2 linked regions of the Schizosaccharomyces pombe genome follow. Changing the gene in region 2 together with the main gene of any one other region gives a genetic interaction. Each region holds a gene or a part of one and is shown on either strand. Other genes may lie near its edges. The genes, in order: cam1 and spo15.

The links.
Region 1: of spo15 (region 2) and cam1, changing one suppresses a phenotype caused by changing the other (phenotypic suppression), as found in Schizosaccharomyces pombe (one study listed by BioGRID).

The regions. Positions count from the first base shown.
Region 1 is NC_003424.3:1,442,612-1,446,833, reverse strand, and holds cam1 (calmodulin Cam1), read right to left. Parts: upstream 1,985-4,222; 5' UTR 1,905-1,984; coding exon 1,902-1,904; intron 1,776-1,901; coding exon 1,326-1,775; 3' UTR 501-1,325; downstream 1-500. Other genes in the region: GARP complex subunit Vps53, read right to left, coding at 1-131; tif310 (translation initiation factor eIF3j (p35)), read left to right, coding at 3,706-3,718, 3,762-4,222. UniProt on the Schizosaccharomyces pombe protein: Calmodulin mediates the control of a large number of enzymes, ion channels and other proteins by Ca(2+). Among the enzymes to be stimulated by the calmodulin-Ca(2+) complex are a number of protein kinases and phosphatases.
Region 2 is NC_003424.3:625,302-633,590, forward strand, and holds the start of spo15 (mitotic and meiotic spindle pole body protein, gamma tubulin complex linker-related Spo15), read right to left. Parts: upstream 6,045-8,289; 5' UTR 6,003-6,044; coding exon 129-6,002; 3' UTR 1-128. Other genes in the region: RSC complex subunit Rsc58, read right to left, coding at 6,255-7,123, 7,198-7,540; SPOM_SPAC1F3.08C (uncharacterized protein), read right to left, coding at 7,847-8,173. UniProt on the Schizosaccharomyces pombe protein: Has a role in the initiation of spore membrane formation.

The sequences.
Region 1 (4,222 bases), 820 kb from region 2:
CTTAGTCGTAATGAACCCAAATCATCATAAGTGATATCTTCTGGTAATAATTCGTGAAGCGTTTCTACAAATTTAAATTCATTATTCCCAATATTTTTGATAATTAGAGAATTATCATTTCCATTCGACATAGAGCTATAATTAATTTAGTTATGGTAATTGCTAACCCTTGATTCCAAAGTGTTATGTAATACAGCGCAGTATAGAACTCGAAGCTTTTTTTTTGGCAATTTTAAAGAAGAAAATTTCGTATAGTTAGGTACAAGTTTTCGACGGCGAAGGGATATACGAAACCATATAGCGGGTGGTTGATGGTGAGAGGAAGTTAGGTTGGCTTGAATAGCAAGTAGGAGGACATTGAGGTTTAGAACTGATAACTTTGTAAAAACTTTTTGAATATATATGTACCATGATGTTGAATTTTAGATAAGTTTTAACTTCACTAACTTGAACTTTACCGGCGCAGAGCCTTCCTTCTTAGGAAATGTCCATATTCCAATGATGAATTTCTGTTTACGATCGGAATAACTACGTGAAATGCAAAAAGAAAATAAACGATGTCATTTATGAATTTATGTTTAGTTAATACGTATAGCTTAGCTTCGACAAGTGCCGCACAAAATTTCATACTGAGAGATGTATTTGTATAAAGTAATGTATTAAGTACAAAACAAAGCGTATATCTACCAGAGTGAGAAAACGGCTTCAAGAAGTGCATATAACTAGAAAAATGCTAAAAATTTTAACATCGACTAGTATAATGAACAGTAAATCTTGAAGGAAAAAAGAAAAGGAAGATTGAGCTAAATAATGGGCATGGGAATTGCAAGGACATAAATGCAACGTATACAGCGAGTACTAGGCACATACTAGTACGAGCAAATGCATCATATAACAGACAGATGAAGCTTCTAATAATTCATTGTAGGATGCAATAATGCAAAAGTGCGTGGTATTCTCATAGCAATAACGTATATGTTCCCAGACTTAAGGATTCCTTTATGTGTTGAAACAAAGGAAGCGTTAAAATTCATAGGATCGATCATGAGATGAATGGTAACAACAAATGCTACCATAGTTACTTTTGTGACACACCTAGGCCAGCAAAATAAACAACCAAAACGTTGTAATACACTAACTAATGTTTTTCAAAATCATAGACGAAAAAAAAAGTAAAGGACAATAGCCGAGGTTAAGTTGGTAAAGAGATTGTCCAAATTGCGATGGAGAGTGGTTATAAAGAAGAACTAAAAGGGTGGAAACCCCAGCAAGGATATTTTGATTTTTTTAAGGCTTACAAATATTCCACAGAAATTCCAACCCTTCTACTTGGAAGAAATGACACGAGAGAATTCTTCGTAGTTGATTACACCATCGCCATCGGTGTCGGCTTCACGTATCATATCGGCTACTTCTTCTTGAGACAAACGTTCACCAAGACTTGTAAGCACATGAGTCAACTCCTCGACTGTAATGTATCCATTTCCATCTTTATCGAAGACTTTAAAGGCTTCGCGAACTTCCTCTTCGTTGTCGGTATCCTTCATTTTTCGGGCCATCATAGTCAAAAATTCGGTAAAATCAATTGTGCCATTACCATCGGCATCGACCTCATTAATCATATCTTGTAATTCGGCGGCAGTAGGCGATTGACCTAACGATCTCATAACTACACCCAATTCATTGGACGTGATATTTCCATCCTGATCACGATCAAACAGTGAAAAGGCTTCACGGAATTCTGCAATCTGCTCATCTGTAAGGTTACGGGTAGTCTGTAATAATGTACGATACGGTAGACGACTTCAGAAATCATTTTCTGAGTGTCATCCGTTCATACGATTGTTAGTCAATCTTCAAAGGAAAAATCGGAATATGTCCAAACAATATAATAAACATACCATTTTCTGGTAAAAATCAGTAACTCTAAAGTCCTTCTATTCCTTTTTTTAACCTTTATTTTTGGCGGTTAGTGTTTTGCTCTAGTTACGTTAAAGTGCCTTGGAGAAATGAGGACTACCGTTGTCGCTTCCTAATGTTGCAAGTCCTACCATCAACAGTGATGTCAACAAACAATGAGAGTTTATTACATTATCGTATATGCTCTAACAAACCAGTAACGTACTTGCTATAAACCGCACTAAAACCACTAAACGGCGGATGAAGGAACTTTTTCAATGTCAGCTACGCATTTATTGGTATCTATTTAACGACACCTAGAACTGCCGTGTGGTTTACTTGTGACCTATTGTATTATGGTACACAGGTAAATACATTTAGTAACTTAGAATGATATTCTGATATAGAGGTTATATTGTTACCTATCACCGAATTAGCATAAAAGTGAATAGAGAAACGAGGTTTTGTTTATTTCAATTCATAAAATTTAAGCATTCTATTATTTTTTTTGTTATTCATTTTATAACTCTTAGTAATCTACCTAAGTAACTTATCATGTACAGCTTGACAGAGCAAATCAAACATGTGATAATTAGTGATACACAACGTAGTATGCTATAGCGCAACGGAACGTTGTCGACATTCAACTTATATATCGTACTCGATGTTTAAATCGCAAAAGGATTTAACAAAAAATATTTGTAAATGCAGTATTTGGAAATGGTTATTACAGCGCAATTTTTTGCTGAATGTAAACAGAAAATCGTGTTTTTCACTTTCCTCTATGAGGTTGAGTTAGTGATATTATTATTCATGATATGAAAATATTGTTTTCATTTTGATTTATGGAAAATTAATTATTGAGCAGATTTACAAACACTGTCACGGTTTAAAGTCTCCAAATAATTGAGCAAAATGACATAGCTTTGAAAAATTTGCTAAACAAAAGCATTTTTGATAAGTGCAGTTCATTAAAAGGTTTTTTTGCACGTTTATTATGAATTGCATTTTTGTTGTGTAGCATAATCTGCTTTTGTATTTTTTGTATATGCCAATTTTGATCTGATAATTTTTCTAGTTGAACACTCAAATGAAGAAGGAAAACTGAAAAAGTAAATAACAATATATTATTCAAGCAGGATTTCATTGCCTGTATATATTTCGATATTAATTCTTTTCTAAATGATTTATTCAATGTATAAAAATCCAGAACCTCAACATCTGATACAATGACCGTAGCCGAATTTATTGATTTTAGTCTGAACGGATATTTTAATCGAATAAACAATATTTGTTGTTATTGATGTAACACAAAAAAAAATAAAAAAATAAATTCAAATTGAGCATTTTTTTGTCTTTAATAATCATAAATTTAGACGTCTTTTGTTTTTAAAGATTTTATAGTTTATTCTCATAATTTTAAATTTTTGCACTTCCTGTTTAAAGACATCTCTACAGAATGACCATGAAAATTTGAGTATAATTCCTTAAAAGATTCAAATTTATAAATCTCAATTGATTTAATAAAATGCTGTGAAATGGGAAGTTTAACTTTTAATAATTCGAGGTACTCATATCCTTCATAGAAAAAAAATAAAAAAATAAAAATAAAAATAAACATATAAAAAATAAAATAATAAGAATGATCGAGAATTTAAAGTATTTATTGTTGAACTCTATCAGTACGTGTGTTTGAATATTTTCCTACTCAATTCATCTCGTAATTTTGTTGTGCAACTACAATAAATTCCTTATTGAACCACATACCTTTTTAGTAGACTGTAAAAACCATCAAGTGAATTCCAAATGGATAGCTGGGGTAAGCTATATATGATTCTACATGTTTATTAACTGAAATGAAGAGGACTTTTTAGTAGAAGATCCTGCAAAGCCTGCAGAGTTTGATTTCCCCTTAGGGAAGGATAGTCAATCCTCTTCCAAGCCAAAAAAGAGATTTGACGACGAAGAGGATGAAGATGAAGAAGAAAACAAAGAATCCTTGCAAAATGATTCTCATTCAGTATCCCAAAAATCCTCTTCATCTAGCCAAAATGATCAAGGCTCTAACAAAATGACTCGTATCCAACAAAAAATTCAGGAAAGAAATTTCGAAAAAGCCATTAAAGCAAGTGAAGCAGCTGCGAAGGAAGAATCACTAGAAAGTTCCAAAGAAGCTATGCGACAAGCCGAAATTGACTCTGACTTGGCAAATGCCATGGACTTGTTTGACATCGTTGATAAAAACTCAGCAAGTGCAAACCGCTCCAAGCAAGCTGATCAACGACAACTCAAAACAAAAGCCGACTATGCAGCTTTCCAAGCT
Region 2 (8,289 bases):
AAAACCATTTTATTATATCTCTCAGTCAACATTATATGCTTCATAGTAATGAAAAATAAATTTAAAATTTATTTTTTATCGAAGCAAACCTTAAAATAGCCTCAATCATGTAGTTGTTAGTAAATCATTTAAACACAAGAGAGGTTCTCGATAACCTCTTCACAAAAAGAATGTCTTTGACCTAATAATCTCAAACGTTGCAGTGATATGACACATAATATTGCAGAACGTAACAATGACTGCTTGGTATTGGTAACCGGTATACTATAAGTAATTTGGGAATCTGGGTTAAACTTGGGAGAATCTCGAACCAAAAGATTGTGATATGCTGATTTAGACAACGCTAAAGACTTTCGGAAACTAATTTCTCGATTTAGTGCAAAATACAAAGCTTCAATCGATTTCCCAAGATTTTCAACCTTCTCAGAATAATTGTCAAATGTAGCTTGTTTTTCCTTTTCTTCTGCAGCGCATTTTTCAAGATCCTCTTTAAATTTGACAATGAATTCCGCACCCGCAAGGAACTGTAATTTAGCGACTTGTTGTTTGAAACTATCCAACACTTCCATTTCGACGCGATTAGTTTTGAAGAAATACCCAAAGTAGCCCTTCGGAAGTTGTTGCGAAAGCTCAATGCCATTTAGACGTTCTTGTAAGACTATAATTTCTTTTTCAATGTCACGAATATACGATTCGTAAACTAAAATTGAAGAGCGAGGAATTAACTGTTCTTGCCTTAAGTTTAGTTTTTTCAAAAGCTTCTCTTGCTTTTTCACTGTTTCTTTGAGAAACCCTAATTGTGTCATACGCTGCTGTTCAGCTCTAAAGAAAGTTTCATGCTGTTCCTCTAACTGAGAATGCAGTTTTTTAAGTTTTCCACTTAAATGCTCACATCGATCATCCCTTCTTCTTATTTTATCCACTGAACGAGAAACTTCATCTTCCAATTCGGCGTTACGGGCTTGTACGCTTGTTAATACATCTTGCAATGATTCAACCGTATTAGATTTTATCTTGCATTCTTTTTGTAAACTTGCTACAGAATCTTCTAACGATCGTAACGTTCTTAGATCCTCGCTTAGACTGTCTTTTATATTAGAAAGGTCTTTGACTTGGTTTTGAAGATCTAACATTCGGGTGGTTAAGGATAATCGTTCGTTTTCAGCCAATTGCAATTCTTCCGTTGTTGAAGCCAGCTTCAATTTACTACGACCTAATTCTGACTCAACTTGAGATTTATGGTACTCCAAATCTGCCAAGCGGCTGTTGAACTGCAAAATTTCTGATTCTTTTTCGGTAGACAGCCTTTTTACAGCAGACTTTTCCTCTGCAAGCAAGTTATTCAATTGTTCAATATTCTCAGATAAATCTCTAATAATTGAATCTTTATCATTTAGTTTTCCTTCATAATTATTTTTAGAAGCAGTAATTTCATGATCGAGCTCTTGAATAGTTGATTCATCTACTTGAATCTTTTCCTTTGCCTCTTGTAGCTGTGACTTGATGTTTTCCATTAAAGAAAGAGACTCACTGTGAAGCTTTTGCAGGGCACCAAGCTTCTCAACAGCCGAAGCGAGCTCAAAACTCTTATCATCCAAAGAAGAATTAATCGATTCAATCTTTTCCATTAATGAAGAATTCTTACGCGACGTATCGTCCAGCATATGTTCCAACTCGTTTTTAGCATCCAGCAAAGAGCTTTCTTTCTGTCTTTGGTTACTTAAACTTTCTTCCAATGAAATGATTAAACTTTCTTTCTCCTTTAAAACGTCTTCTTTCAGGCGAATTTCTTGATTTAAATGATCAAGTTGATTTTTCAGCTTATTTGTAGCAAGTTGGTTGTCTTCAAGCCTTGAGGACAATTCAGCTATTTCTTTTTTGGTTTCCTCTTTGCCTTCTTCTAAGCTATGTATATTTTCAGTCATCTCGGCTTCTTTCCGTAAGAAATTCTTTTCACTATCCTTCAGTGCCTTTTCAAGATCTCCTCTTTGAATTAACCAATCGTCATGTTCATGTTGCAATTTCTCCAAATCAGCAACAACCTTGGTGAATTCAGCGTCGGTAGTAGTCAATCGATTATCCAATTCCATTTTCTTGAAGTTTACTTGATTGAAAGCGTCCAAATAGTTTTCCAAAGACAGAACAGTCAAGCGACTTAATTCACTAAAGTTTCCAGCATTAAAGACAAAATTATCGTCCAAAATTTCAGATACCGGAACATCAATTTCAGACTTGGTACATAACTCACGAAGAGAAACAGCATACTTGTTGAAACTCTCTTCACAACCCTTCAGAGAGTCTAGCAAATCATCACGATCTTGACAAACTTCGGAATATTGAGTACTCAAAGAATCTTTATCCTTCTTAAGAGTATCCAACTCGTCATTTACACGTACAAGATCAGAACGTATAACAGATATAACATTATCTGAATCACTCAAGGATTTTTTCATGTCTGACAAACGATTAGCTAAGTCACTCCTTTCTTCAACGAGTGCTTCATTATTAGAATTGGATTGCTCAAGGCTTACAATTAACTCATTTTTTTCGTTAGTCAATTGCTCGAGAGCATCACTCTTTTCCTTTAGGTCATCAACAAAATTTGCACAAAGATCATGCTGTTTCTTGCTCTTTTTCCTCAAGGCAAGTAACTCATCCTTAATTTGGGCATTTTCTTCGCCAAGTTTGCCATATTTGGAGGTTAGTTCTTCCAACTCGACATTCCTTTGATCCTTTTCATCCAATAACTTTTGAACGTTCTTTTCAATATACTTCAATTGGTTAGTTTTGTCTTCAAGAGATTTGTTTGTTTGGGATGAAATCAACAGCAAATTTTCGTATTCCGAGCTTACAACAGAAAGTTTTGACTGCAAATCATCATTTTCGGCACGTTTCTTTTCAATTTCTGTTTGTAAACTTGCGATATTTTCACCATTATTTTTCAAATCGTCCATTAAACGTTCATTTGAAGCTAGAAGAGCATTCCTTTCAACTTCAACCTCGGAAACCTTATTTTTCAGGTGTTCAATATCTGCTTCAAGCTTGCTAGACTTTGACAAAGTTTCATCAAGTTTAGATTTCACAGAAGTTATGGCTTGACTTTGCGACATGTTTTCTTCTTTCAAGTTTGAAATTTCTTCTTGCCGTGCAGTTAATTTTTTACCAAGATCACTGGATTTCGATTCTTCAATTTTTAACTTGCCAGTTAACTTATCCAAACGAATATGTAGCTCCTCATTTTCTGTATGTAGCAATTGCTTTTCAGCTTCCAATGATTTCAGACCGGAATTTAACTGAGCAGACTCTTGCTCCAAACTATCGTAATTTTTACTAAGTTCAGCAAGTTGGGTAAGGATTTGATCATTGTCAGAAATAGCAACATTTAAACTGGATCTTAGATTCTTCAAATCTAATGATAACTTTCCATTCACCTCTTTTAGTTCAGAAACTTTGGATTCTTGATTTACATGTTTATGCATGAGTTTCTGAACATTGTCAATGAGTGTCATGTTCTGTTGAGTGAGATTTTCACAGTCTGTCTTCAATTTTGATTCAGATTCAAGCAATGTATTATTTTGAGATTGCATATTCACATGGTCATCACGAAGTTCGTGGTACAAGTTTGAGATTGACTGATAAGAATTGACAAGGCTTGTAAAACTTTGCTTCATAGCTTTGCTATCTTGTGTAAGAGTTTCAACGTTGGCAGTCAACCTCTTGACATCTTCAGATGATTTGGTAAGTTCACTCGACAATATTGCATTCGTATTTTTAGCATCAGAAAGAGAAGAATGCAAATCATTTCTCTGTGCTTCCAATGTCTCATGCTTTCCTTTCAAATTGTCTATCACTTCTCTCAAATTTTTAGCCTCCAATTTGGAAAATCGGAGGGCTTCCTCCGACTTCCGCAAGTCTTCCTTCAATGTTTGAATATTTTTCTCTAAAGAATCCACGTCTTCCTGTTTCTTAATTAACGATTTGTTGGACTCCTCGAGCTTTAATAATTTAGTTCGCAGATCATTATTTTCGTCGCTCAAGGTTGATTCTTTTTGTTCGAAATTGGCTCGCTCTAATTGTAGCTGTTGAAGTTTTGAAGAAGTATCTTTCAGCTGCTTGGTTATGGTCTGGTGGTTATTTTCTAATTCTTGGTGACTTTCATTGAGTTTTTTAAATGAAGTATCCAGGGAAGAAAAGTTTTGCTCATTCTCTTTCAATTGCATAACCGATTTTGCAAGCTTTTCTTGAAAAGCATTGCACAATGTCTGAAGTGAGTTTTTACTTTCGGAAAGTTCATTATTGGTAGCCACAGCTGCCTCTTTCTCAGCCGCCAAAGTTGAGAGTTGGGAGGATAGGTGTTCAGAATTTGAAATTTCCGTTTGTAATTCACCCTTCAGTTCGTTTAATTGACTTTCATAAACTTCATGTTTTTTCTTTTCATTTAAAATATCACGTTGCAAAGACTGAAGGCTTGATTGAGTACTTTCAGAAACTTTTTTCTGTTCTTTAATCTGCTCCCTCAAATTATTTAACTCTTGATCTTTTTTGTCAATCAACGCTGATTTTTCCTTCAGTTCATTGGATGAGGAATTCAAACAAGCACGCAAGTCCTGCTCTATCTTTTCAAAATCTTTTATTTTTTTATTTTGAAAATCTCGCTCGGAATTTATCTCTGCTAATTTACCAGTCGCGTGGGCAAGGGAAGAACGAGCTTCTTCCAATTGGGAAGAAACTTGTTTAACCATTTTATCCTTCGAAGAAAGATTATTTTGGTACTCGTCAATAGATCCTTTCAGTGATTTATTTTCCTGTTCAAAAGAAGAAAGCTTAGATTCAGCATCAGTCAATTGCGAATGGATAGTACGATTGGATTCTTTCAACTCAACCATTTCCTCTTCCAATTGAGAATTGGAGGTTCGTGAGTCTTTTAGGCTGCCAATCGTATTACGTAGTAACTTTTCTAGCTTCTCGTTTTTTATTGACAACGTGTCCCGTTCAGATTTTAAATTATCAAACTCGCTTATTCTGGTACTTAAATCTTCAATTAACTTATCCTTGTGTACTATGGCATCTGAATAATTGGCGACATTATGCTTAAGTTCTTCCAGCAATTTGGAATCTTCCTCATTGATGGCGCATTTCTCCAACTTTTCTTGCAAGGTTTTACATTCGGCGCGCAATGAGTTTTCTGTTTGTCTTAAGGTACTAACAGTTTTATTGGAGCTTACAAGAAGTTTTTCTAATCGCTCTTGCTCACCACGCAGGGACTTGTTAGAAGCTTGCTCTTCTGCTAAAGAGGCCTTGATAGAAGAAACATCTTCTTTTATTTTTTCGTAATCCTTTTCTTTTTTATCTAATTTTTCCGTAACCGTTAATAACTGTCGCGATAAATCGTACGCTTCAGATTGTTTAGCAGAAAAATTTGACTCCATGTTAGTGAGCTTTTTTTGAAAATATGACACGTCTTCCTCTGATGTTAACGTGGTTACACTTGAGGTATTCTTATCCTTTTTATTCGAAGATGACAATTGCAAGGAGAGAATTCCGTTTTCATGTTCAAGGGCAGCCAGTTTGGACCGCACTTGCTTCAACTCATTTAAAAGGTTGGATTTTTGAGTTACTGAGTTAATGTCGAGAATCGGACTATCAAGTAAACCACCGCGGACTAATAGCCAGCTGGCATTAGAAGGAGAACGAGGTGTCAAAGGTAATGCTGAAGAAGCAGTTGAGCCTTCAGAAGAGCCTAATTTCGCATCAATTGAAAGGTCACTGTGCCTACGCATTCCCCTTACTTCTTGACGCTTTAACTCCTCTGAGGAATCTTCATGTTGACTTGATGTGTCACCGTCTTCTGCAAGTTGTCCTGTTGAAGCTCTTGAAATATTGGGTCTTGGTGTTTCGAGATCAGAATCAATAAATGGTGATGCAGCAGAGCTCACAAGACTACTCGCTGATTCTTCATCCAAATCAGAAGTATTCGAACCAGAAGACGACTGATTCGACATCTGTCGTTGGTAAATAAACGATTTGGGTTGTTTAGAAATGACAACTCTCTGAAGCAACAAAGCAATAGTGATAAGGTATCGGCATGTTTTATCGGTATTTAGCTTTTGGGTGGTTGAACAAAAAAGTTTCAAAAATACATCAATATATTGAGATATAAATAAGGTAATATATATATATATATGTATGTATATACATCTATTAATTAGTTAAACTAAAATCTTTAAGTAACACCATGGAAATAGAGAACGAATTCATCTACGTGATTTTGTAGTCCGTCGATAAGACTGTAAAGGAACATTTGTAGAGCTTGGACTTAAGGAGCCGTTCATTGATAGGGAATTGCTCCGTAAAGCAGCATTGGACTGGGAGCGTAGCAGTTGCTGTGAAGGAAGCTCCAGCGGTTGTGCACTAAGAGGAAGAGTTCCACGATAAAAGGCGCCATATTGAGTGAGTGAAAGAGTAAAATCGTCCATAAGAAAATCTTCTGGAGACATATCGTAATCTTTTGCTAACTTAAGTATCAAGTTTTGTACTTGCACAGATATTTGGCGCTCCTCATCGGAGAGTACGTTATGAGATGTGATTCTTTGATTTTGAAGCAGTTGAAGATGCTGTAGTAACTTATTCAATTCAACAAGTTCCCCTTGAATAGGTACAGAAGTCCATGAGTCTTCTTCTAATAGACTCAAATTGTTTTGAATGATGTCAATATCGATTGACTTCTCGACAGGTGCCTCTTTGTAATGACTAGATGCCCGATAACAAGCAACAGAATGAAATGAAGAATCAGGAATAACAGAAGAAGATGAATTTTTGTAAGGAGCAATTGAGGAGAAGGGGCCAGACTGTAGGTACTTCACAGTAGGAAGTTTAGCCAATGAAGGATTAAATTCTATAACTGATGCAGGAGGTTTGGCGGTTGAGGGGGGGGATAACTTATCCAAGGTGTACTCTTGGGAATTAGCAACGGATGGAGTTGGCAAAAGGGCAACTGGCTTTGCAATTATTCCTCCATCTGGTAATCGACTGTCTAATCGGGAAGTTCGAGCAGTAGAACTGAACAAAGGACCAGCAGAACCGACCATAAACAAAGCGTGTGACCTGAATTGTGGTTGTAAATCTTGACTAAATTAGTAAAGTCTATAAATAAAAAAAAAATAAAAAGAAAAGAAAAACATTTTCATTTTAACTTACCATTTTCCAATGAAGCGGTTGAATTTTCAGCATCAAAAGTGAAGCCATTTTTTATTTCTTTCCCAACAACTTTACTTTGTTCGAGTGTGGTAATTCGGTTCACCGATGTATATAATTTGTCGACATTCCAATAATCAGCATCTTTTGGAAAGTAGGAATGAATTATATGCACGCATACATTCGTCCAATCTTCTAGAAACTCTGGGTACCTTTGATAAACAGCGGACTTTAAGTTTGCCTCGAGGGTTTGCTTGTTTGTGGTAGCAGTGCAATTCAATACTAGATTGCCCGCAGGTGCAGAAGAGATATAGGAAAGAATTAAGGAGCAACTTTCAGCATTCATTGCCGAGTTTGTTTTACGAATTGCTATCAAAAAAGGCCGGATAACGGTAATGCGTTTCAAATACTCAAAATATGCCCAGATCGATAAAAACCAAAAAATTTCTTTTTTGAAACCATGCAAATTGTAATGTCTTAGTTTTTTCGGGCAACCTAGGTACTTTGCGCGGAACAATCTATTATGTTCTCTTCACTTTGCACCTTTGACTACCTTGTTGATGTGAGCTATGCTAGCACCGAAGTTTTAGTACGTTGGCGATGGAAGCACACTCGATGTTGGCGATATAACGAATGATATCTGCGAAATTCCCTAGGCCTCGCTAGAGATCATTATTCGGTAAACAAAAGAATGGAGTGGGTTTTCATGAAATGGACGGATTCTTTTAATCGGAAAGAAATGGGGTGATAGGCATATTAGAAGATAATAATAATAATAAATAATAAAAAGTTCATATTTTAGTAATATGTTTTTGTAATCGTAGCAGATCCGATCATAGAAAAATGGTATACTGTAAATGTTAGGTGCATTTGATACCAAGCTAACAGTATCATACATGTAGCAACACCTCATTAAGTATAAGAAATCATTTGTTTCGAGTAACCCTTTCAATTCTAACCAGTTGCAGTAGATTACCATGTTCTGAATATCCTAGTAATAGCCTCAGCAACTAGAAAGTGATAACGCACGTTTAATGCTGCGTTTGTAATGTTTAATGTATTACTATGCAATATGTTATGCAACTTGCTGAATAA